Linked DNA regions of Sus scrofa. The protein of the gene in region 2 interacts with the protein of the main gene of each other region in a pairwise test. Links are inferred from orthologs where the notes say so. Each region holds a gene or a part of one and is shown on either strand. Other genes may lie near its edges.

The links.
Region 1: the proteins of TCAP (region 2) and TTC19 interact in binary tests that used the Homo sapiens proteins (3 or more experiments, as listed by UniProt). The link is inferred for Sus scrofa from reciprocal best matches to the Homo sapiens genes TCAP and TTC19.
Region 3: the proteins of TCAP (region 2) and TRIM55 interact in a two-hybrid assay, tested with the Homo sapiens proteins (2 studies listed by BioGRID and IntAct). The link is inferred for Sus scrofa from reciprocal best matches to the Homo sapiens genes TCAP and TRIM55.
Region 4: the proteins of TCAP (region 2) and LAMTOR5 interact in binary tests that used the Homo sapiens proteins (3 or more experiments, as listed by UniProt). The link is inferred for Sus scrofa from reciprocal best matches to the Homo sapiens genes TCAP and LAMTOR5.

What each region holds. Positions count from the first base shown.
Region 1 is NC_010454.4:59,415,092-59,421,222, reverse strand, and holds the start of TTC19 (tetratricopeptide repeat protein 19, mitochondrial), read left to right. Parts: upstream 1-2,401; 5' UTR 2,402-2,426; coding exon 2,427-2,601; intron 2,602-2,671; coding exon 2,672-2,808; intron 2,809-4,856; coding exon 4,857-4,967; intron 4,968-5,561; coding exon 5,562-5,600; intron 5,601-6,131. Other genes in the region: ZSWIM7 (zinc finger SWIM domain-containing protein 7), read right to left, coding at 57-78, 2,181-2,271. UniProt on the Homo sapiens protein: Required for the preservation of the structural and functional integrity of mitochondrial respiratory complex III by allowing the physiological turnover of the Rieske protein UQCRFS1.
Region 2 is NC_010454.4:22,649,898-22,655,109, reverse strand, and holds TCAP (telethonin), read left to right. Parts: upstream 1-2,205; coding exon 2,206-2,315; intron 2,316-2,580; coding exon 2,581-2,974; 3' UTR 2,975-3,444; downstream 3,445-5,212. UniProt on the Homo sapiens protein: Muscle assembly regulating factor. Mediates the antiparallel assembly of titin (TTN) molecules at the sarcomeric Z-disk.
Region 3 is NC_010446.5:68,527,198-68,533,340, reverse strand, and holds the start of TRIM55 (tripartite motif-containing protein 55), read left to right. Parts: upstream 1-2,413; 5' UTR 2,414-2,595; coding exon 2,596-2,763; intron 2,764-3,283; exon of another isoform or gene 3,284-3,288; coding exon 3,289-3,461; intron 3,462-6,143. UniProt on the Homo sapiens protein: E3 ubiquitin ligase that plays an important role in regulating cardiac development and contractility, muscle growth, metabolism, and fiber-type differentiation.
Region 4 is NC_010446.5:109,720,303-109,726,393, forward strand, and holds the start of LAMTOR5 (ragulator complex protein LAMTOR5), read left to right. Parts: upstream 1-2,361; 5' UTR 2,362-2,492; coding exon 2,493-2,698; intron 2,699-3,571; coding exon 3,572-3,633; intron 3,634-6,091. UniProt on the Homo sapiens protein: As part of the Ragulator complex it is involved in amino acid sensing and activation of mTORC1, a signaling complex promoting cell growth in response to growth factors, energy levels, and amino acids.

The DNA.
Region 1 (6,131 bases), about 37 Mb from region 2:
ACATTAAAGTTTAAAAAAAAACACAACAAACCAAATACACCAGGATGTATACTTACGATAATAGATGCTCATCAGAAACTGTAAAACAGGAACAGAAAGAAAGGTAACTGTGTTAAACCAGTAACCATGGACAAAAACATCTTAAAAAGACTAAAGCTAAAAAGATCTTTGTGTCAGATGGTGAACTGAGCCTAGGCATCAAATTTTACTCTTTCCCAATATTCCACTCAACAGTCACCAAAGGATAAAAACAAAAACAAAAACCAAAAACTCCCAAGGATGAAGCCAGGAGAAACACAACTATGATGAAAAAGAACTTATAAGACCTGAGAAAACTGAGCTGGAAGCTGTCAATGGGGAAAGCCAAGCAACAACCTGATTTACACCTCAAAATCTAGTAACCCCCCCAAAAAAATACCTCAGAAACGGGTGGCACCAGACAGTTCTGGAGGTCTTTGAAAGCAAGTTTAAGAAGCTAGAAGGTAGTAAAATAACACTTTGAGATGTCTGAAGAAATATATCCAACATATAATTCAATACCTAGCCAAACTGTCAATTAAGTGTGAGATGGGAAAACAACTTTTTCAGACATGCACAGCCTCAAAAAGTACATCTTGTACTCTTCTTCTGGAAGCTACAGAGTATGTGCTCTATAAAATAAGGCAGTAAACTAAGGAAAAGAAAACTGTAGCATAGGCGTTCCCGTTGTGGCTCCGCAGTAACAAACCCAACCAGTACCCAGGAGGATGTAGTCCCTGGCCTTGCTCAGTGGGCTAAGGATCCAGCATTGCCGTGTGCTGTGGGGCTTGGGTCCCGAGCGGCTGCGGCTGTGGCGTAGGCCAACAGCTGTAGCTCTGATTCGACCCCTAGCCTGGGAACTTTCATATGCTGTGGGTTTGGCCCTAAAAACGCAAAAAAAAGAAAAAAAGAAACTGGAGGATATACTAAATTTAAGGCCCAACTTAAGTAAAGGGAATTTCCTTAGATGATGGCAAAGGGCGGTCAGGAGAGAGGCCACTCCATATGAGTGTGCCCCAGGAAGCTCTGGGGGTGACTTCTACAGGAAAAGGAAGTTGCTAAGACATTTTATTCATCCTAACAGCTTGAGTAGATATTTAGAACGCTGGTATATTGAGTGAGGGAAAAAGGCATAGAAAAGTAAACAAGCAAACAAACACAGTTTTAATTCCAGAGAAAGCAGAAAGTTACAAGAAAGAAAAAGTAATCATAGCTTTGTCCATGACTCAGCGGTAGCTAGATTTTTTCCATCATCAGACATGTGTAAACTCAGGCTACTGATCTACAGAAATGATCATTACAGGACGGGGGTCAGGAAACTAGTCTAAAACACAAGTTTTTGAATAGCAGAAAACGACTCTGCTGAAAAAGAACATGAATCAGTGGTGGTGGTCCCTCTGAGTCACGAGCATCAGGGCACCCACCGTGCCCCCTTCAAGACCCTCGCAAGTGCACAGATGAATCCATTGCGATAGAGCCCATTTCTGGCAGGCAGCGTTTGAGCTGACAACGGATTGGCTTTCCCCCATCCTTCTGCGGATCAGAAAGTGTTTGAACACCTGGCTGCCCTAATCGCTGAAGCCTATCCGCTGCTTTAGTTTTAACGAGAAAGTTTACTTTAAACGAGAAAGCAAAAGTTGGCTTCCTTTTCTCAATTCTTTAACAACAGTAACAAACACTTTTCAAAGTGCAGCCCTTTTCAAACAAAAGCCATGCAAGTGAACAAGCAGGGGCAGTTCTGAGGCCACTGAGACGTTGGCTGAGCAGCCCGACGGCGGCGATGCACTGCGGTCACTTTGGGCAGGATGCTCTCATACAGGTGTGAGCACGCGGACGCCGCCGAGGTCGGCCGGGCGCCCGGGAGCCTGGTCACAGAGCATCCTCTGCTGGTCAGAGAACGAAGGCACGGTCACAGTGCCCAGCTGTTCTCCAGTCACTGCGTCCGCACACGGGTTCGCAGCCCTAAAATATTTATTCGCTGAACAAGGTGTATGCGAGGATTAATTTCAGCGAGTCTGGACTCTTAAAAGGGCTGCAGTGGAGGCGAACAGGCCGGAACCTCCCTCCCGGGGACTCCGGCCCCGGACCCCTCGACCGGCCCCCCGCCCCCGGACCCTTGCCGCCCGCCCAGCCCAGCCCAGCCCAGCCCAGCCCAGCCCTACTCGGTGCGCCGTCCCGCACCGCCGCCGCCATCTCGCTCAGCAGCTCTTCCACCACAGCGGGCAGCGTAGGAACCCCCGCTGCCACCGCCATCGCCGCTTCCGCACCAGCCGGGGGCGGGGCGAGCGCGGGGACGTCAGCGTGCGTCCCGGCGCACGCGGGCGTCGGGGCCAATCCGACGAGCGCTCGACGCGGGGGCGGGACTTCCGGGGCCTTGGGCCGCAGTGCGCAGAGGACGCGGCGCAGCCATGTACCGGCTCCTGGGCGTGGGCCTGGCGCGCGGCCTCCTGCGGGCGGCTGGGCGGCAGCGCGGGGGTCGCCCGGCGCGCCTGCCGCCGGGGCCGGTGCGGAGTCGGGTGGACGTGCCGCCGCGCCTAGGGGTGCCGCGCGGCCGGGGTCCGGGGCTGCTGCCGCTGTTGGCAGGTGAGGGGCGTGGGCCGGGCGGGGGCCGGGCGCGGGCCGGGCGCGGTGACTTCAGAGCCCCTTCCCGCAGCGCTCGCCTGGTCCTCGAGGCCCGCCGCGGCGGAGCGGGAGCGAGAGCGAGAGCGGCGGGGCGAGGGCGAAGCAGCGGCCGAGGACGCGGCGGCCGAGGCGGAGGCCGAGATCATCCAGCTGCTGAAGCGAGCCAAGGTGAGGCGGCGGCGGCGGCGGCGGGGCCCCCGGTCACCGGGGCGGGTGAGGAGGCGGGAGGCCCCCCGTCCTGGGGGTGCCTGTCAGACGCCGCAGCCGGCTCGGGGCGCCGGGCCACAGGTGCAGGTGCTGGTGCAGCGCGGGCGGAGCTGTCTATCCAGACGGAGTTAGCGGGACGTTTGGAGCTGGAAGGGCGGGCAGGGAGGAAAATGCGCCTCGGTGTGGGTTATGCGCGATTTAGTTCTCTTATTCCCAGACAGTCCTCTCTGGCATCCTCTCCCGGGTTTCCGCACCGCTTCCCTTGGGCTCGTTGACCGCCGCCTCGGGGCCGACGTCATGCACACTTGCGCTCCCAGGCTGCGGGGTGCCGCCGGCTTCACCTGCCAAAAGCTAACCTTTGATCTTAAGGGCCTCCCCGACATCTTGCTTCTCCATCTCCTCTTTACGGCCATCCCCCCGTGTTCGTAGTCATTCTTAGAACCTGGCATACCTAACCATCACTCCCCGTACAGAGTCCAGCCACAAGTCCTTAGAGGATGTTGCCATCAAATCCAAACTATTCGGCAAACCTGTCCCCTTCTGTGTCTCTCTTCTGCTGTCACCCTAGCCGCACGGCCGCAGCCTGCTCCCTCCTACTGCCTCCTTGCCATCCATTCTCCAGGCAGCAGCCAGAGTGGGTTTTTTTCCTTTAATTTTTTTTTATATTTTTCAATTTTATTTTATTTTTTAGGACCATACCGGCAGCATGTGGAGGTTCCCAGGCTAGGGGTCGAACCGGAGCTGCAGCTGCCGGTCTTTTACTACAGTCATGACAACACCAGAACTGAACTGCATCTGTGTCCTACAATGCACCTCACAGCAACACCAGATCCTGAACCCACCGAGCAAGGCCAGGGATCGAACCCTCACCCTGGTGGATACTAGTTGGGTTCTTAACCTGCTGAGCCCCAAGGGGAACTCCCTCTTTTTTTTTTATTTGTTGTTTTTATGTGAATCAGATCATATCCCTTCCTTCCCCCAAAACTTGGGACGCCTCTCCTGTGCATTTAGGGCAGAATCAAACTCCTTGCTGTGGCCTGTGGGGCCTTTCGTGAGCCACCCCACACTGCCTCCGTGTTTGGCAGTAATCCTCTGGCTCATCGCGCTCCTTTCACATGTTTCCTTTCCTCCTAGCCGTTTACTTTAGCGGGGGGGGGGGGGGGGGGCGGCCTTTGTGTGCTTCTCTGTGTTTGGGTCGTTTTCCCCACAGTCCCTTATTTGCTGGATGCTGTCTCTTTCTTCTTATGCCAGTTTAACTGCCACTTCCTTGGAAGGCTTCTCTGACTCCCATTTCGAGGAAACCTCTCCATGTTCTTTTCTGTTGCTTTTCTTTGTAGCTTTTGTCACAAGTTGTAATGAAGCTTAGTGGTCCTACAGGGTCACGTCCAGCTTTCAGGAAGAGAGAAAGAGGACGGAGGGCCAGCAGCTTCCTTATAAGATATGATAAGAATTTGCTTACAGGAGTTCCCGTCGTGGCGCAGTGGTTAACGAATCCGACTAGGAGCCATGAGGTTGCGGGTTCGGTCCCTGCCCTTGCTCAGTGGGTTAACGATCCGGTGTTGCCGTGAGCTGTGGTGTAGGTTGCAGACGAGGCTCGGATCCCGCGTTGCTGTGGCTCTGGCGTAGGCCGGTGGCTACAGCTCCGATTCGACCCTTAGCCTGGGAACCTCCATATGCTGTGGGAGCGGCCCAAGAAATAGCAACAACAACAACAACAACAAAAAGACAAAAGACAAAAAAAAAAAAAAAAAAAGAATTTGCTTACATTCCTGCAGTGTGCATCTACGGGCTGCAGTTTTGTCATATGGCCACGCAGAGTGGCGGTGGAGGCTGGCCTCCCAGTCACCGTTATTGGCGAGGGTCTGGAGCCCAGGAGGAATTAAGGGAACACGGGATGAATGAGTAGCTTCCTTCTGTGTATTCAGCTGTGCCCACTTCTGTCTGGCAGCACCTGCACTTGCTCGCTTGGTATGTCATTTTACATTATTTTCTTTGTTTTCTCTTTGCAGTTGTGCATCATGAAAGATGAGCTAGAAGAGGCGGAGCTAATTTTGCACGACGCCCTTCGTCTTGCTTTTAAGAGTGATAACAAGAAGGCCATCACTTACACTTACGATTTGGTAACTCTTCTAACCAGCTGGAGCCACTGACAGTGGAGGGTGGAGCAGCAGAAGGGTTGTTTGCTGTCCTAATTCATATTCTTGACCAGCAGGATGTCCTAAAGCTCTCTGGTTTTTGTTTTTACTAAGCTTCCTTTTGGTTTCCTCTTTTAATAACCCTTGGGGTTTCACTTATAAGACTCGGGAGTTCCCTGGTAGCCTAGTGAGTTAAGGATCCGGCGTTGTCACTGCAGCGGCTTGGATTGCTGCTGTGGCTCAGGTTCAGTCCCTGGCCCAGGAATTTCCACATGCCGTGGGCATGGCCAAAAAAACCAAAAACAAAAGCGCAATCCTGGAACCAAAAGAAGCATCATCAGTGTTGCTTTCTCAAGTGAGGAGTGCATCTCGATTGCGCCTGTTATCGTCGGGGCTGTGCACGTATTTGCTCTCACGTCATTGCTCTGCTTTGCTTCTCGCAGATGAGGACACGTTTTTGTCTGGACGGTTTTTTTCGTTAGAGGGTGAAGGCAGGTGGGAGGGGTCTGTAGCTTAAGGGATTTGAAGTAGGTCGGAACACAGTGGTCTAAACTGAAAACAGCTTGTGGTTTCTTTCAGATGGCCAATGTAGCATTTATACGGGGGCAGCTTGAAAATGTAAGTAAATCACTCGGTAATGCTGTGAGTACGTGAAGGACTCGCCTGGTGTTAGGAAGGGTGCACACCAGGCCGCCGTAACAAAGAGACCCCGACGTAGACTCAAATCAAAGGGGAGTGTGTTTCCCTCCGACACGTTCGTTCGTCCAGAGGTGGCGGGACAGGTACCTCTGCTGCACAAAGTGGCCAGAGGCGCAGTGATCCCCTCTGAGCTTTGTCCGCATCCGCCTGGAAGAGGAGGCTCCCTCCAGCCTGCAGGAGGGAGCAGGGGCTGGGGGCCAAGCAGCTTCCTTGGAGAGAAGGACTTGGAAGTTGTTCCCTTCACGCATGTGCCTCTCTTGGCTGCAGCTCATTGTAGGACCCCACCTAACTGGTACAAGTTTGGAGGCTTCACCTCTTAAAAATTGAGGGGACGCTGACTAAAAACACAGCGAGTGGGTATTAGGGAATTGTTTGCAGTCTCTGCCGTGGTGGGTCTGGATGAGAAGTTAATGTCCGAAGTTGGTTTCTACTCACTTGCAGAGTAGTTTT
Region 2 (5,212 bases):
TTTTTAGGATTATTTAAAGGGTCTGGGACCTTTTTCCACTTGGACGTGTCGGGGTACAGGTGGCAGGTGGGAGAAGTGGGTGCTGGCAGGGGACCTGTTCTCCCAGGTTCTCTCCAGGTCACCTCCCCCGCCCAGGGCCTCCCTGGGGACCTTTGTCATTTGAGCCAATTAAAAATACGAACTTGGAGTTCCCGGGTGTCTTAGTGGGTTGAGAATCTGGCGTTGTCACTGCTCTGACCCGGGTTGTTGCTGTGGTGTGGGTTTGATCCCTGGGCCAGAAACTTCCACAAGCCGTGGGCATGGCCACAAAAACCAACCAGGAGGGAGTTCCCGTCGTGGCGCAGTGGTTAACGAACCTGACTAGGAACCATGAGGTTGCGGGTTCGATCCCTGGCCTTGCTCAGTGGGTTAACGATCCGGCGTTGCTGTGAGCTGTGGTGTAGGTTGCAGACGCGGCTCGGATCCCGTGTTGCTGTGGCTCTGGCGTAGCCAGAAAATGGCAAAAAGACAAAAAAAAAAAAAAAAAAAAAAACAACCATGACCTCAACCATGATGGTGGGGAAGGAGCCGCTGCCAGAGCCAACACATCACACGCCCTCTCACCCCCTGCCAGAGCCAGGAGGAGGATGGAGCCACTGGGGACCCAGTTTCTGGAACCCCACCCCTCACCTCCAACTTTTTAAATTAGTTCGGGCAGATGACTGGTCAGAGAAAAAGTCCCTGCCTCCCCGCCTGGTCTCCTGGGAGGGAAGGTCAAGTTAAGGTCTCCAGCTCAGGCTTGGGAGGAGGAGCTGGGGCCCCGGACTTTCCAGTCCCTGAGGCACGTCTGGGTCCCAGCCTCTGGGCTCACTTGCCCACCTTCTCTGCTCCACCTCCCTGGGGCCACCAGGAGAGCGGCCCTCCCCGCCCTGTGCCTGCAGGCTTCCGGAGGGGCTGACTTGCTTAGAGCCGAACCCCCTTGGCCCTGGCCAGGCCTGTGACCCTGCGTGAATCTACCTCGCTGAGCCTTCATTTCCTGCCTTATAAAGAGACCAGGAATCAGGTGCAGCGCCTCAGTAATCCAGAGGCTGCTGTTCCGCCCCAGGCGGGGCCCACGGACCTTAGTGCTGGGTTCTCCTCCCAGCTCCTGTCCCTCCCTCTCTCGGTGCCCTTTGCTTTGTCTGCTCAGGGACGCCCTCATTCCCCCTCCCCCGTGCCCTTCACCCTGGGTGCAAGCTTTTTGCAGCATGAGCTGCCGCCCTCGATGCTGGGCTGTCCCCACAGCCCTCCTACCGGCCTGCTCCCTGGGCATGAGAGCCAGGTCCTTCCCAGGCGGCACCTTGGAGCTGGTAAGAGCTCTTCTGGTGAAGCGGCTGTGACCAGAAAATGGGGAAAATGAGGCCCAGAGAGGGGCGCGTAGTCACACAGCCTATTTGTGGCTGATGTGGGGCTAGAGTCAGATCTGATTGCTGCTCCTTGGAGCCCCTGGATTCTTGTCTCGCCCCACTTGAGGTGTCAGGGGAGGGGGGCCAACACCCACTGTGCTCCCTCCACCCCCACTGGCCTGACTCGGGAGGCTGCACCTCTGGCCACTGGACCCAGAAGAGGAAAACACCCAGCAAAGGTTTGTGTCCCAGATCCCACGTGCGACATTAACTTCCAGTACCCCTGCTGGTCAGGGACCAGACCTCTGGGTGCAGGCGCCTGAGGACGTGGCAGCACTGTCCCTTGCTGAGGGGCACAGTTGGGGGGGTGCCCTTGACTCCAGGCAGGCAGAGGAGAGCAGTGGGGACAGCACCTGATGGCCTGGTACAGAGCCCAGAGGGGGCCTCGGTCCCTGCTGTTTACAGACAAGCCGCTGTCCTCCCTGGGCGAGGGGGAAGGGGTGGGGCGGAAGGCATGTGCCAAGGTGGCACGAGGCTGGGCATGTGCCTGGTCCCAGACAGTGTCTAAAGAGTGTCAGACACCTGGAGGTGTCACTCCGAGGACCCCCGCCCCCACCGGAGCACCTCGATCTCTTCAGAAGCTGACCTCTGACCTGAGGTCAGCCAGAGTCCGGAGACCCCAACCCCCGCCCTGGGCCCAGAGTCCCCCCATCAGTGAGTATTGGCTCTGCTTATAGCATCTGACGCCAGAGGGGCTGAAAATAGCCCCTGGAGGAGGGGGAGGAGGGGGCTATTTAAAGGGCCTGGGAGGAGCAGAGCCCAGAGCAAGCCAGCGGTCATCATGGCCACTTCAGAGCTGAGCTGCCAGGTGTCCGAGGAGAACTGTGAGCGCCGAGAGGCCTTCTGGGCCGAGTGGAAGGATCTGACGCTGTCCACGCGGCCGGAGGAGGGGTGAGTGCTTCCTCCCCTCCTGGGGGTCCCTCTCCTCCCCTAGAGCACTGTCCCTGAGCCTTAAGAGGACAGAGCACAAAGCCCAGGAGGAGCGTGGGGGGGGGGGGGGCAAAGAGAGTGCTCCCCAGGGAGAGCAAGGTGGAGTCGCCCCCACTGCACCCCAGGTCCCGGCAGCCCGAGGGAGCCCCGCCACCCAGGCCGAGACTGCAGGGCAACAGCTTTTAGGACTTCAGTGTTCCCCCCACCCCGGCCTTCTTCTTCCCAGTTGCTCTCTGCACGAGGAGGATGCCGAGCGGCGTGAGACCTACCACCAACAGGGGCAGTGCCAGGCGCTGGTGCAGCGATCCCCCTGGCTGGTGATGCGAATGGGCATCCTAGGCCGTGGCCTGCAGGAGTACCAGCTGCCCTACCAGCGGGTGCTGCCGCTGCCCATCTTCACCCCTGCCAAAGTGGGCGCCGCCAAGGAGGAGCGCGAGGAGACCCCCATCCAGCTGCGGGAGCTGCTGGCGCTGGAAACAGCCCTGGGTGGCCAGTGTCTGGACCGCCAGGACGTGGCCGAGATCACCAAGCAGCTGCCCCCTGTGGTGCCTGTCAGCAAGCCTGGCGCCCTTCGTCGCTCCCTGTCTCGTTCCATGTCCCAGGAAGCACAGAGAGGCTGAGAGGGACGGTGACTCGGGCTCCACTGTGCCTGCCCTGGACTGGGCCCTTCCTGGCTAGGACCACGGAGGGGAGCTGCTGGCCATGGATGCTTTGTAGTTTGCCCAGAGTTGGGGGCTAGGGGAGGAGGGAGCCAGAGGCCGGGATGCCTGGGTCTCCTGAGTTTCCAAGGGGAAGGGAGCAAAGACAGCGGGCACTCAGGGTGGAGAGCTGGGGGCCAGCCCAGCCAAGCACCCCCAGCCCTAGGAGGGAGGACAAAAGGTACGGGTGAGGGCAAGAGGCCCCTAAGAAGGGTGGGCCCCGAACAGATTTCAGCTTCGGAGAACAATGAGAAAAAAGTGAGAGAGGATCTGGAATGCGCTGGGAAGGAGGCTTGGAGAAGACCCGAGGGAGGGGGACGTGAGGAGGGCAGAGGCCAAATGGAGCCCCCAGCACCCTCTGTTAGCGCTGCAATAAATGCTCAGTCACCTGCCAGACTTTGTCTCTGTCCTTGTGGTTGTGGGGCCTACCCACTGGTGTCCCCCTGCTCACTTCTGGGAACCGGCCCTGCATCTCGGCTAAATGTGGCAGAGCTAGTGGGTCGCCCACGCTTGTGTGGGGGAGTGTGGCAGGGACAGAACTGTAAACAGGGTGGCCGTTCAATCCCCCTTCCTTATGGTGACTGCTGTGCCGAACTGGCCTCCGTGTCCAATCCTCTGGCACTGGGCAGTGCCCGGGAGGCCAGCTGGCATTCAGGGTTTGCTTAAATGATCTCATGGATAATATGGAGGGGGCTGGCACCAGGACTGTCCTTAGCTGTGCCTCGGGGTGTGCATGGGGTCAGTGACCCCAAGACTGACCTATCTTGGTTCTGAATCCAGACAGAATCAATCCTCAACTGGGATCAGGTGTTCTGCCCTCCCTGTCCTGAGAGCCCAAGGTGGGTTGGGGGGGGTGTTGGGGGGGGTCAGGTTCCTGTCTGTGACCCCTGCAGCTGTTGTGGTGACTCATGTCCCAACCTGGCTGCCTGGCCCAATTAGAAGACACTTTCCCCTGGGGACAAGGGGGGGCGAGTGGCACGGAGGAGGCCAGGGGCCCATCTTGGCAGGGGCTGGTGGCCTACCCAGGGTAGAGGGGCATTAGACATCACCAGAGGGGTCCCACTCCAGGAAGACCATGGAGTCGATGTCGCAGAATCCACTTCCCATTTGGGGGGATGGGAGGGGAGACCTGGCATCCTGACGGCCCGGTACCTGGAGCGCCAAGCCATCTGTCTGCAGGCCTGCCCCAGAGGGAGCTGGAGCTTGAGCTGGGAGATGAGAGGGGTCAGACTCCAGACCGGCGACACGCCTAATCCCTTGGCGCCCGAAGGCTCAGACCGCGCCCTCTGGTGGCCCTGGCAGCCCGGAGACTGCGCCCCGCGCCCTTCTGACCTCACCGGAGTCCTTGGCGGGAACGTCCCGAGCCTCCCGCCCTCGGATGGCCCCGGATTCGCAGCTCCGAGCCCGCAGGGCCCGCAGGGGAGGCCAGGCTGTTCCGCCCGCTAAGTGCATTAGCCTCGCTCGCCTCCCCTATCATTGCTGCCATCTGACGGGAGCGGCCCGGGCTCCGCTCTGGGGCCCCGGGGCGAACGTGGCGGAGGCTGGAACGGACTGTCCTTTCTGGAGTCAGGCCGAGGGGCGGTGGGGGGGGGGAACGCTGGAGGACAGGGACGAGAGGGCTAGAGGAGGGGCAGAGAAGGGGAATTGAGGTGATTTTATAAGAAAGGGGAGTGGATACTGGACAGGGTGTCCCAGAGATGGGAAGACTGGCGGGGGAGTGGGGGGCGGGCTGGGCCCTGGGTGGGGCGTGCTGGCAGCTGGGGTGAGAAAGGGCTAACTCCAACCCTGGCAAAAGAGAAGGGATGGGATGTCGAGCAAAAGGGGTGAATGGCTGCGAGGGCTGGAGAAGAGGATTGGGGTGCTGGGTCTGGCGGATGCAGGGGGTCTTAGGGGGTCTGGGGGTAGGAAGCTGAGGGGCAGGTGCGGAAGCTGGCCTTAGACCAGGGCAGGTGAGGCAAAGGGTGGAGGGCAGCCAGAGCAACTGCGAAGCAGGGGCGGGGACGGATGGTCCCCCCTCCCGCGTGTCTGCTCCTTGGACACTAAAGGAGATGGATGGGGTAGGGGAGACAGAGCCTGTGTGGCCCCAGGCGGCTCATCGCTTAGCCACTGCCCCCGCAGCGGAGGGGTCAGGCGGGGGTCCGGCTGCAGATAAAGGCGAGC
Region 3 (6,143 bases), on a different chromosome or scaffold from region 2:
CGGTGCCAGGGCATCTGACCTCTCACCTAGGCTACTGGCAACAATCTCCCATCTGGTCATTAGCCAGGTCACCTTCACCCTCGCCCATCCCAGCCACCACTGAGATAAATGTAACCAATGCAGAGCTCTCAGGGAAACTCTCAACGACTTCCTGTTGTCTAATTTATTAAGTGTTAAAAACTCTTCAGCACAGTGTCCACAGGCTGCCAGTGTGCCAGCAGCATGCTCTGTACTCCAGCCCAAAGCACCATTTGCTCTGAGCTTTCCCTGCACTCCTGTCTTTGCTTCTGTGCCTTCTCTTGGAAAGCTCCACCTATGTCCCCTGCAACAACAGGCCCATCAACATCTAAGTTCCTCAGTGGATCAACTCAAATGCCACCCCACCCATGAAGCCCTCCTGACTCCTCCACATCCTGCAGTTTTTGTCACATGTTCTTTGGACTGTGGTTCTGTATATGCATGTTTTATCTCTGCTATATATCAGACTGAGTTCCTTGAGGACAGTGACTTGTGTCTTATTCAGTTTTCAATCCCCAGAGCCGAACACAATAGAGACACCTGAGAAACGCTCAACCAATATATATTTTTTTGGGCCGCAGGTGTGGCTTATGGAAGTTCCCAGGCTAGGGGTCAAATCAGAGCTACAGCTGCTGGCCTACACCACAGCCACATCACACCAGATTCGAGCCAGGTCTTCAACCTTCACCACAGCTTATGGCAACGCCAGATCCTTAACCCATGAGATCCTTAACTGAGCAAGACCAGGGATCGAACCCTTGTCCTTGGGTTTGTAACCCACTAAGCCACAACAGGAACTCCTCAACCAGTATTTTTTGAGGGAATGATTTCCTCTTAAAAGGATAGGCTTGGCTACAATGTACATTACTCATTTAAGTGCTTTTCCTGAGGTTGCAAGGTCTTTTACAATAGAAACTTCATTTTGTTTAGAAAAGAGTTCTCATGTCTTGCTCAGACCATCACAGCCCATGTGATAATAAACACAGTTAACGCCTCAGCTAGGTGAACTAATTACTCACTAAAAAAATGTCACCAGTTCTCTCCTTCGCTGTAGTTGCTAAAAAGCTATTGAAAGGAATAAGAAAATTCTCCAAAGATCTCTGAAAGGTTTATGAATACGCGTAACTTATTATTTGTTAATAGAGCTTATTAGATTCTCAGTAAGCGCTCAGTGCACTAGCATGAAGGGCACCCATGACCAGTCACAGCCCCCTACTCTTTGCTGGTAATTAAGTGCACGCTGGGGATGTGCTAACACAAGGTGTTCATTGCAGGAGGTTTTTAAAATCAAGGAGAAATAAAACTGCAAATTTAGCACATAAAAAATAGACGTGTTTCTTTTTCATTTTTGATCTGATTTTAAATATTTAAACAAAACATATAGCTGAAACAGTGGTTTCACAAAATCCCGGCAAATATCAGAACTGAAACTGATGGCTCAAGAAACAGTCCAGGAAATGGCCAGAGAAACTATCATTAAAAAAAAAAAAATCACCTTGGTAAGTGAGACAAATGCCAAGGGGTATAGGTATTTCAGACCAGATAAAACCCAGATCTGGAAGCAGGACTCGGTTTTCATGTCCACTGAAGATGGCCCTGCCATCTGTTCCCCACTGTGTGGCAAAACGAAATAAGGGGTCTGACCCCATGTCCCAGTTACTACTGTATTACTGATTGTCGATGGAAACTAAATTTAAATGTTTAAAGGCTGTCCAATTTTCTGGGCATTTTGGGGGTGGGGGTGGGGTATAGGATGAAAGAGGAGTAGGCAAAAGGGAGGGAAACGCACACTAGAGCTTTCTTTCACAACTTCTAAAAAAACCTGGATCATCAAGTGGCATTTGGATATTTTAAAATTTTGTGGAGCCTCCTATGGTGAAAAGATTAGCAATCAGTTTTTAAGTTGGAATTTTTCGCATTTCCTGACCCTCACAAAGAGGAAGTGGTTAAGACGAAGCGAGGCTTTTTAGATGACTACCTTTGTGAAGCCAGGATGATGCTCTTCAGGACCTGTTTTGTCTGTTTTCACCTCAGGCAGGGGGGTCATTGCTCCTTTTGGTGACTGGCTTCCTAAATTCTCAACACAGAAATGGCTTTCGTTCTACTTGGATGACATTCTCCCCAGTCCTGGAGAAGCCCGTCACCGAGTCCTTATTGAGTGCTCACAGAGGGCATAGCTCAGTGACTCGGCACGAACATTCCCATTTGTTGTTGACAACTGTCAGCGGCACCTCCCGCTCCTCACAACCCCTGTCTAAATGGCTTTTGCAGTCCTCCTTCCCACCCACTCTCTTCACTCCTTGGGCCAGGAATGTTGGCCCCTGTTCCCTGTCACCTGTCAGAATCCATCCTCCTGTCACTGGCTTATATGGAGAAGTCAGCCAGCTGTCACGTGACCCTCGGCTGCTAAAAACAGCTCGAGCACTGCTCTGAACCCCAGCCTGAAACAATGTCCTCCACCAAAAGAAACGTAAAGGACGCTTGATTGTACAATCCTTGGAATTATTTCCAGGAATCACTCGCCGAAACCGTTCGAAGCACGCTTTCCCTGGCAGTGCACACGGGGACGGCCAGGAGATGAGCGCATCTTTGAATTACAAGTCTTTTTCCAAAGAGCAGCAGACCATGGATAACTTGGAGAAGCAACTCATTTGCCCCATCTGCCTAGAGATGTTCACAAAGCCCGTGGTCATTCTTCCCTGCCAGCACAACCTGTGCAGGAAATGTGCCAGTGACATTTTCCAGGTAGGTTTGTTTGGAATCTAGGGGTAGAGGGAAAAAATGTTCTCATCTCCCAATCAAGTGCTTAAGTCTGAGGTGAATTTCTCTAGGAAGCGTTCTAAGGTTGCATTTATTTAAAACAACAACCAAAAAGAAAGACCATTTTTAAAAGTGATTTGCTTTGTGCTTTGCCATCAGCCTCCTCCTGGCTCTCAAATCTAATTTTATTAAAATATTAAGAATCATATTTGTCCTTTTAGAAACATTGAATCTGTTTCAAAATTGTAAATGAATTACTGCCCAAGGCATTACTGTTGGAGTTTCTGGCTGGAACTTTTGGTTATGAAAACGTTAGGTGGAAAAGGACCTCATGCTGAAAATGGCACATTGCAGTTGACCATGGGTGAGGGTTGGTCCTGTGTTTTGGGACCAGTTACTATCTCCCAGCAAGGAGTTGATGTTGTTTGTAGTAACTGAGAGGGAAAGGAGGTCCCAGGAAAGCTACCTGTGGCAATGCTCAATTCCTCTTTTCTTGCTCGGCAAGAACAGGCCTCTAACCCGTACTTGCCCACAAGAGGAGGCACCACTGTGGCCTCGGGGGGCCGATTCCGCTGCCCATCCTGCAGACACGAAGTGGTTTTGGACAGACATGGGATATACGGGCTTCAGAGAAACCTGCTGGTGGAGAATATTATTGACATCTACAAGCAAGAGTCCACCAGGTATGCGCCCCCCTCCCCTGCCCCCGCCGGCCGTGTCAAACACGTTGGAAGCTTGCTTTTGTTTATTTGTTTGTTTTAGTGGGTCGCTATACTGAATGCTTGTTTGCCAATCACGGGCTAATTGTTTTATAGGAAAATGTTTTTCCAAGTCAGTCCTTACCAATGGGAGAGAGAGTTGCTCTTGGGAGGAGAGAAGGAAGCTGGTGCCCATGCTTTTCTATCAATTTAAGAATGAAGTAACTCATTATCACTAATCCAGTCCAGATGGTGATCTTGAAAGAGGCATGATGCTGCCCCTGCTCCCAGCCTGGTATTACATCCACAGGAGACGTTTCTGCACTTCACAGGTCCTTTAGAGCTCCAGAGTCTACACAATAGGAAATTAACAGAAATGACATCTTCCAAAATCAACCTCTTAGATCAGACAGTCTCACTTTAAAATTTTCTAGAGGAGAATCATAAAAAGAAAATCCTCTGACGTGGTCATGGTATTGACTCTGGAAAGGAGCAAAGCAAGGCAGAGTCCTAAGCTTTAGCAACTTAAAAGTTTAGAGACGAAGAAAAAAAAAAGAAGAAGAGGGTGCTCAGGTTATGTTTCCCTGTTCTCTAGGTTGTACTATGGGCTCTTGGCATTCACTTGCTGATTGACACGCAGTATACACATCAGTCATTAAAAAGGGGCAGTGGGTGCATCTTACTCATCGAATCACATTGGCTATAGTATTCCTTTCCTAAAGACAACACTGCAGGAGTTCATTCCTAGAAGGCATGGTGTGAAGAGCCCCCTTTTTAATGGTACAGTCAGTGCAGCCCACAACACCAGATAGCAATACTGAGACCATCTAGAAATGACCTCGCTGTGCTTCCTATTAGGAGACGTAGACTCATGGAACATCTGCAGGGCCCTAGGAGCCTTGTGCTCTTAGAAAGAAAGCTGTTCTATAAACCTAACATATAATTATTATCATCGCTATGGCTATTCATTTCTGCTTAAGATTCAAAACTAAATTAGATAGTGCCAGGATATAGATGGCACTGGGAAGAATTGCTGACAACGTACTGCAGAGATGGAGTTGGCTATTTCCCTTGCTTCCAAAATCTCTTGAGAAGAAGGAAAGTACCATTTTTGTAATTACGATTTGATCTCATTTTATTTCATTACTTTAAGATGCAAATAGATAAACTGTCTCTTAAATTAACCAGCCAAATAATAACCAACTGATCATTAAGGCTCTTTATGTAACAACTGATTCAGTGCCTAGTACAGTGGTTTGCACGGAATACTTGCTCCCTAAGTGCCAGGTGATTATGCAACCCCATAAATCTTCTTACACATTCTATTTATTGCAATAATTTTCTGTTTTGCTACTTGCAGAGTGAGAGCTTGAATGATATGAAATAATAATAGTAATTGTTATGTAATCCAGAAAAGAGGAGATGTTAAAAATTTGTAGCAGTAGTAAAATGACAAGACACATCCTGGCTTTAAAGTCTGTGCAGCGCGACTGCCAAATACAGTGCCCGGGTGAACAAGCTGCATAAAAGCAATGAACCAAACTTCCAACAACGAAACTCATGACTGAGTAGACTAGCAGTGTTTTTGTGATTATCAAATTCTTCTTATGCTGGTGTTTCTGGAAGTTGAGACTTGCCTTTGGGACATTTTTACTTAGTGGCGAAACCACAAATTGTACAGAGGGCTTGGGCACATGTTTGAACATAAACCCAGTTGTTCCCTGGAGGCTGGCAGATTTACCAGCCCAGAACCCTAAGGCCCAGGGTATGTTAGGTGACTCTGGAATAACGAGGATACATAGAGTGAAATGAACTGACTCTGGCCCATGGTCAGGGTGGGCGCAGATAGGGGAGGAGGCTGGTCCAGTCTGGCTTCCCACAGAATGGCTGGAGATGGTAGGTCTCAATGAAACCTGGCCTTCTAACCTATCATTCTGCCTGGTGCTGAACTAGCCACAGTTTGGGAGTGGGATGATGAGAGAAGGAACTAATTTCACTAATATTAATAATGAACATAATAACGAGTAACTGTAAAACACAGAAAGTAAAACAATTATGTGTTGAATATGTGTCAGCCACTGTTCAGGCTGCTAGACACATGAATCATGTGTAATTCCTTAATTCTCATAATAATCATGTGAGATTGTAGTTATTATTATTATTAACACCTTATTAAAATATTAAAAAATTTTAGTCAAAGTAATTCCTATGCACATGCATAATTTTAAACATTCCAATAGCACTACAAGACCTCAAATGAGGGCTGCATTTTTTTTTTTTTTTTGTCTTTTTGCCATATCTTGGGCCGCTTCTGCGGCATATGGAGGTTCCCAGGCTAGAGGTCTAATCAGAACTGTAGCTGCCGAGCCACAGCAACTCAAGATCCGAGCCCCATCTGCAACCTACACCACAGCTCACAGCAACGCTGGATCCTTGACCCACTGAGCAAGACCAGGGATCGAACCCTCAACCTCATGGTTCCTAGTTGCATTTGTTAACCACTGAGCCATGACCGGAACTCCAGGGCTGCATTTTCTGCCCTACTCTCTCTTTGAGCACTGAGGGAACCACATTTAACTCTTTCAGCTGTTCTTTGGCCATTTGTCACCCAGTGACAGGGGAGGAGTATGCTGCTAGTCTGCTCCTAGTCCTCGACTTTGCAACTGT
Region 4 (6,091 bases), on a different chromosome or scaffold from region 2:
CTCTGTATTTTTTAAATTGATTACATGGTGAAATGATAGTATTTTGGACACAGTATATGGATACATAAAATATTAAAATTAATTCCACCTGTTTAAGTTTTTTAGTGTGGCTACCAAGACATTTAAAATTACGTTTCTGGAGTTCCCATCGTGGCTCAGTGGTTAATGAATCTGACTAGGAACCATGAAGTTGCGGGTTCGATCCCTGGCCTTGCTCAGTGGGTTAAGGATCCGGCGTTGCCGTGACCTGTGGTGTAGGTTGCAGACGCGGCTTGGATCCCGAGTTGCTGTGGCTCTGGTGCAGGCCAGTGGCTATCGCTCCGATTCGACCCCTAGCCTGGGAACCTCCACATGCCGTGGGAGCAGCCCAAGAAATTGCAAAAAAAATAAATAAATAAAAAATAAATAAAATTACGTTTCTTACCAATGAGATCCTGCTGTGTAGCACTGGGAACTACATATACTCAAATGATGGAGCATGATAATGAGCGAAAATAGAATGTCTACATGTATGTGTAACTGGGTCACCATGCTGTACAGTAGAAAAAAAATTGTATGGTGAAATAACTATTAAAATAATAATAAATAAATAAACAAACAAAATTACGTTTCTATTGGACAGCGCTGCCTCGAAGGTTAAAAAAAGCCAGAGCTGAGAAGCCCTAGACCAGCAGAGCTTTACACCACATGGACCACAAGGGGGCGGTACTGCAGTACCCAGCTGCCTCGGTACTGCAGGACAAGTGGGCGGGCTCCCGACGTTTTTTAATGCTATCTTTTAAGAGTGGTTTTAAACTGCTTTTTCTAAAATTTAAATGTCGCATATTATAGTAACCCCTAAGTTAATATAAATCATTTCTCTAGGCCAGGAGTCTAAAACTCCTGAATTACGACATTCAAGGCTGGAATTTTAAGGAAGCTGAAAGTTTCTCACCATCACAGCTAGGGAATAAAGAGGGACTCTTGAATTCAAGGCAAGAGGAACCGGGAAGCTGTGCCCCAGAACAGAAGTGAAAGCTGAGTAAAGCTGGAAAGTGAATAAAAGCTGGAGGAGAGAGGGCTGGAGAAAAGGGAGGTCGAGGTGTGCTGCCAGGAGGATTACAGGGAGCGGGTAGAGGCTTATGGGGGGATGGGTGAGCCTCTGGGCACACTCCCATTCTCATCAAAATGCTACCAATCTGAGTGTAAACTGGAACCACCTTTCTGGGGGGTAACTTGTAAGTGTATATTAAAAGACTTTAAAACCTTGACCCAATAATTCCATTCTTGTAACTTACTATAAGAAAAAATTTAAACTGCACAAATATTTGGCCATAAGAATATTCATCCAGCATTTGTCACAGCCAAAACCCAAACATAACAACGACAACAACAAAACTATAAGCAACCTAACTGTACATTAATAAGGGGTTGGTTAAGCTATAATATGTAATATTTTCTAAGTATTACAAATGCCGTAAATGAACTTTATGTCAGAAAGACATTTTTGCTAAATTTTGTGAAAAAGATAAGCTACAGAATTGTTTGTACAATATGTGTGTCAACTTAGCTTTAAAAAAGAAAAAACAATAACACAAAGTATACATTTGCAAAGACAACCAACCGGCGGAAAGAATATTCTCCAAGGCCTTATCAGTCATCTCCGGACAAAGACAATGGGTGGGCTTTCTTTCCTTATTTTTACAACTGCTTTTTTTTTTAATTTTTGTCTTTATGTCTTTTCTAGGGCCGCTCCTGCGGCATATGGAGGTTCCCAGGCTAGGGGTCGAATCGGAGCTGTAGTAGCCCGCCTACGCCAGAGCCACCACAGCAACGTGGGATCGAGCCGGGTCTGCGACCTACACCACAGCTCACCGCAACGCCGGATCTTTAACCCACTAAGCAAGCCAGGGATCGAACATACAACCTCATGGTTCCTAGTCGGATTCGTTAGCCACTGAGCCACGACCAGAACTCCCTATAACTGCTTTTGTAATTAACTTTTTTTAAAGGTTACTTTTTAAGTGGTCCTACCCAGTCTTTATTACAATGACACCTTCTTTCTCAAACGTTCCCGAATCCTCTCCAAAGAGGAAGAACCAACGTCTTCGAAAAATCGCAACACTTGCCCCCCTACCCAGCTTGGGGTTTTAATTTTGTTCCGCCTCATCCTCTAGTCCCTTGTCCTTCCTCTCTTTGTCCCTCCAAGCCTGGGGAACCCTTCATCGGAATCCTGTGTCTCTCTTGTCTGTCCCTGCCCTACCACCTGGATGGGACCCCGCGGGGCCGGCCGGATTATTGTAAAACTTCAACCAGACCTGGCCCGACTTCTCGGAGTCGGTGGAATCGAAATCCAAAGGTCTGTACGGCGGAGACAAAGGGACAGGCCAGGAAGCTGGCTCCAAGGGAAGACTACAGACCTCCCTCCCGGGGGTACATCCCGCGCGGTCCCCTCGCGGGTCGCACCCCAGGCAGCAGAACCCCGCCCAGCTCGCGGCGGCAGAGGGCGCGTAATGACATCATCCCGGAGAAAACGCCGAGACTGCGCCACGAAGTTTGTCCCTTTGGAGGCGCCGTCCAGGTCCGCGTCCTGCTCGCATCATGTGACTGACCAAGCGGAGCCGGAGACCAGTTTCCTAGGAGAAGACCCACCGTGGGTGGTGCGCCCGGCGGACGGCGGCGGGATGGAAGCAACCTTGGAGCAGCACTTGGAGGACACGTAAGTAATGTGGCCACGTCGGCCTGTCCTGGGTTCGCGGCGGGCCTGTCCTTGAGCGCAACAGAAGGCGCGAGCTGTGACTGCCCGCTGGGCTTCTTGGGGACGTTCTCTCCCCGGGCCGCCGATGGGAGTGGAGGGTAACCCGGAATTAAATCCCGCCGGTGCTCCGCACACTCCCTCCGGAACAAGTGTCCCGGGTCCGAGCCCAAATCCCGCCTGTCGTGTAGAAATTGTTTGGGCGGGGCCGTTCTTTAGGAGTTTTAGGAACCGAGTTCATTTGGGGGAAGGAGGTACCTACCACCTGTATCTTCAGTGTAAACGTAAACACACACGCGTACCTCCTTCTGGTGTAACCAGTTATTTGGTGCTCAAGAAGATGAAAGACATCCTTTAAATTTTTCGAACAGATAGTGTCTACGTAAAATCCAAAATTAGAAAAGTTTAAGACGGCGTACAGGGAGACACCTCCCTTGCATCAGGGCCGCTCAGCTTCCCACTTCCTCTCCATGGGGCAACCAGTTTTAGTTAGCTTTTCAGCAGTTCTTTCAAGTGAGAGAGTAGGCTAAAATACATATTTTTAACGAGGGCAACAAAATCCTAGCTATTGCAACGTTTGTAGCCCTCCAAAGCTTAGCAGTACCTGGCAGTCTTTTCTCTCATCAGAGAGAAATTAGTTTAACCATCATTAAAGTTAGCTTATTATGATTTAATGTAATTTTTCTTGGAGTAGGGATGAGGGATAAAGAAAAAAGACTAACACTGATTTAAAGCACTTAACAGCAGTGCTGGGTACATAGAAAGCCTGTGTGTGTTATATTTAAATCCATTTTTCCTACATCATTTGCTTCTTTCTTCCTGTGTCCCTGGAATTAGAATGAAGAATCCATCCATTGTTGGAGTCCTGTGCACAGATTCACAAGGACTCAATCTGGGATGTAAGTATCTGACAACAGCCCTTCCAGGGATTGCACAGCACTTGATGTTGACTGGGAGCCTAGGGTGCTTTCTCTAGTTTGCATTTCCTGCCACCCTGCCACTTTTGGGGGACTTTTCTGTAAATAGAGATCATCTCCCAATAGCAAAATTAGAAAACTGAATGTTTTCAGTTGATACTTATAAAGGTGGAGATGTCCCTTGCAGTTCTAGCACTACATAGTTGTTTCTTCTAGAATAGTATTTGAATCATTCTAAACAGAGTCTAGAAAGGACTTCAGATAATGACAGCAGTTACCATTTATTGAATGTATTTTGGGACTGCTAAATTTCCCCAGTAACCCTGCCAGATGGATGGTGTTATTTTTTAGTTCAACTTCACTGAACAGTAAGTAGGCAGTAAAAATGAGGGGTGCAAGCTCAGACACACCTAGGTTCAACCCCCAGCCCTCCCCTGTACTACTAGTGTGAACCTGGACCAAAAAGAACCTTTCCGAATTTCAGTTTCTGTAGTGGGTTGTTGTTTGATAATAATTATTATTATGGAATTGCACTTACTGAGCTCTATGTGCCAGGCACCATTATAAGCACTTTCCACATATCAAGTCATTTAATCCTTGTAACAATCCTATGAGGTAGATAAAGAAATTGAGGCACAGAGGTTGAGTAACTGGACCAGGGTCATACAACTAGTAAGTGATTGAGCTAGGATTTGAGTCTGGCCCCAAAGCCTCTACATCACAATAATATAGGATCATATAAAATATGTAAAACACTCAGCACAGAACCCAGACATGATGCTCAACAGATAGTAACAAATTGCAGATGAGGAAAGAAATCCAGAAAGGTAAACAATGGGAGGCTTCAGCTAATTAATGTCAGAACTAGTAAACCCAGGACACCCTGCTCACTACTCTTCTGTTCTGCAAGATTTTTTTAAAGCTCTGAATTTTTGCAGGGAGGGTAATTGAAAGAATTAGTCTGTGTAACTCAGGTTTTATACACAAATCAGTTAGTTGGAAGAAAAGGGAGATTTTTTTTTTTTTTTTTTTGAGGTGCTTGCCAGGTTTACAGATGGAAAGGTTGAGATTCAAGTATGGAAATCTAAAACTAAATTAATTTCTTTAAGAAACTTTCAAGGTCCCACAGATGAACCTACCTACAAAACAGAAACAGACTCACAGACATAAAGAACAGACTTGTGGTTGCCAAGGGGGAGGAGGGAGGGAGTGGGATGGACTGGGAGTTTGGGGTTAGTAGATGCAAACTATTACATGTAGAATGGAGAAACCATGAGGTCCTACTGTATACCCCAGGGAACTATATCCAATCTCTTAGGATAGACCATGATGGAAGATAATATAAGAAAAGAAATGTGTGTGTGTGCGGTCACTTTGCTGTACAGCAGAAATTGGCATGACATTGTAAATCAATTACTGTTTAATAAAAATATATATAAATTTATTTTTTTATTGCTCAAATGAATTTATCACATCTGTAGTTGTATAATGATCATAACAATCCAATTTCACAGGATTTCCATCCCATAAAAAATATATATATATAAATTTTATATACATTCTAAAAAAGAAGCTTTTAAGGCCCAAAAGACTACATTGTGTCTGTCCAGTTAATGTTTTATAAACAACAGTAACTTCATCAACTCTGCATAGTAGCATGTACATTACCTGACCTGGTTTCAAGTACATGGGCTTGTGTTGCCTCTATATACAGAAATATACGGTAAACTTAGTGATTACTTTTTGTACCTCACACCTAAGTTATTATCTACAGGCTAAAACAGACATTAGTAAAAAGCTAATTCTGTTCCTATTTGAAAACAACCAGCTTGTTCTAATGGACATAATTGCTTATAGAATAGTTATGTATGCTGTTAAGGAGATCCTACAGCTAAACTCTTGAGCCAAGATCTTTATATTCTTTGAAGTTGAACTCAGTAAAAGGAAATTAGATTTCCCATGAGGAATTAATTAGTTGGGATTTTTGGGGGAGGGCCTCACCCACAGCATGCAAAGTTCCCAGGCCAGGGATCAAACCCATGCCACAGCTATGCCAGCACCATAGCAGTGACAATGCTAGATCCTTAACCCACTGAGCTATGAGGGAACTCCAGGAATTAATTAGTTTCAACGTCTCTTGTCCTTACTGACTGCTTTTTGTCAGTCTCACCTCTGAATTTCGTCTTGGTTTCAGTTTGCTTCCAGACTGACTTGAATTATAGCTTCCTTACATGCTTGAGAAGGTGTTTGAAGATGGTGATGGAAATGACTTGGAGAACTGAGTGTTACGGCTTTATTGACTTAAAAGCTGTTGTCTGGCTTCCTCACTGAGATAACCAGCTGAGTCTCAGGGCAGAATCATTTCATGTCCGTACAGTACTAACAGTAGCTAAGAGCCCAGGAGCTGACCCTTCTTTTTGTGAATAACTGAGTTTAGTTC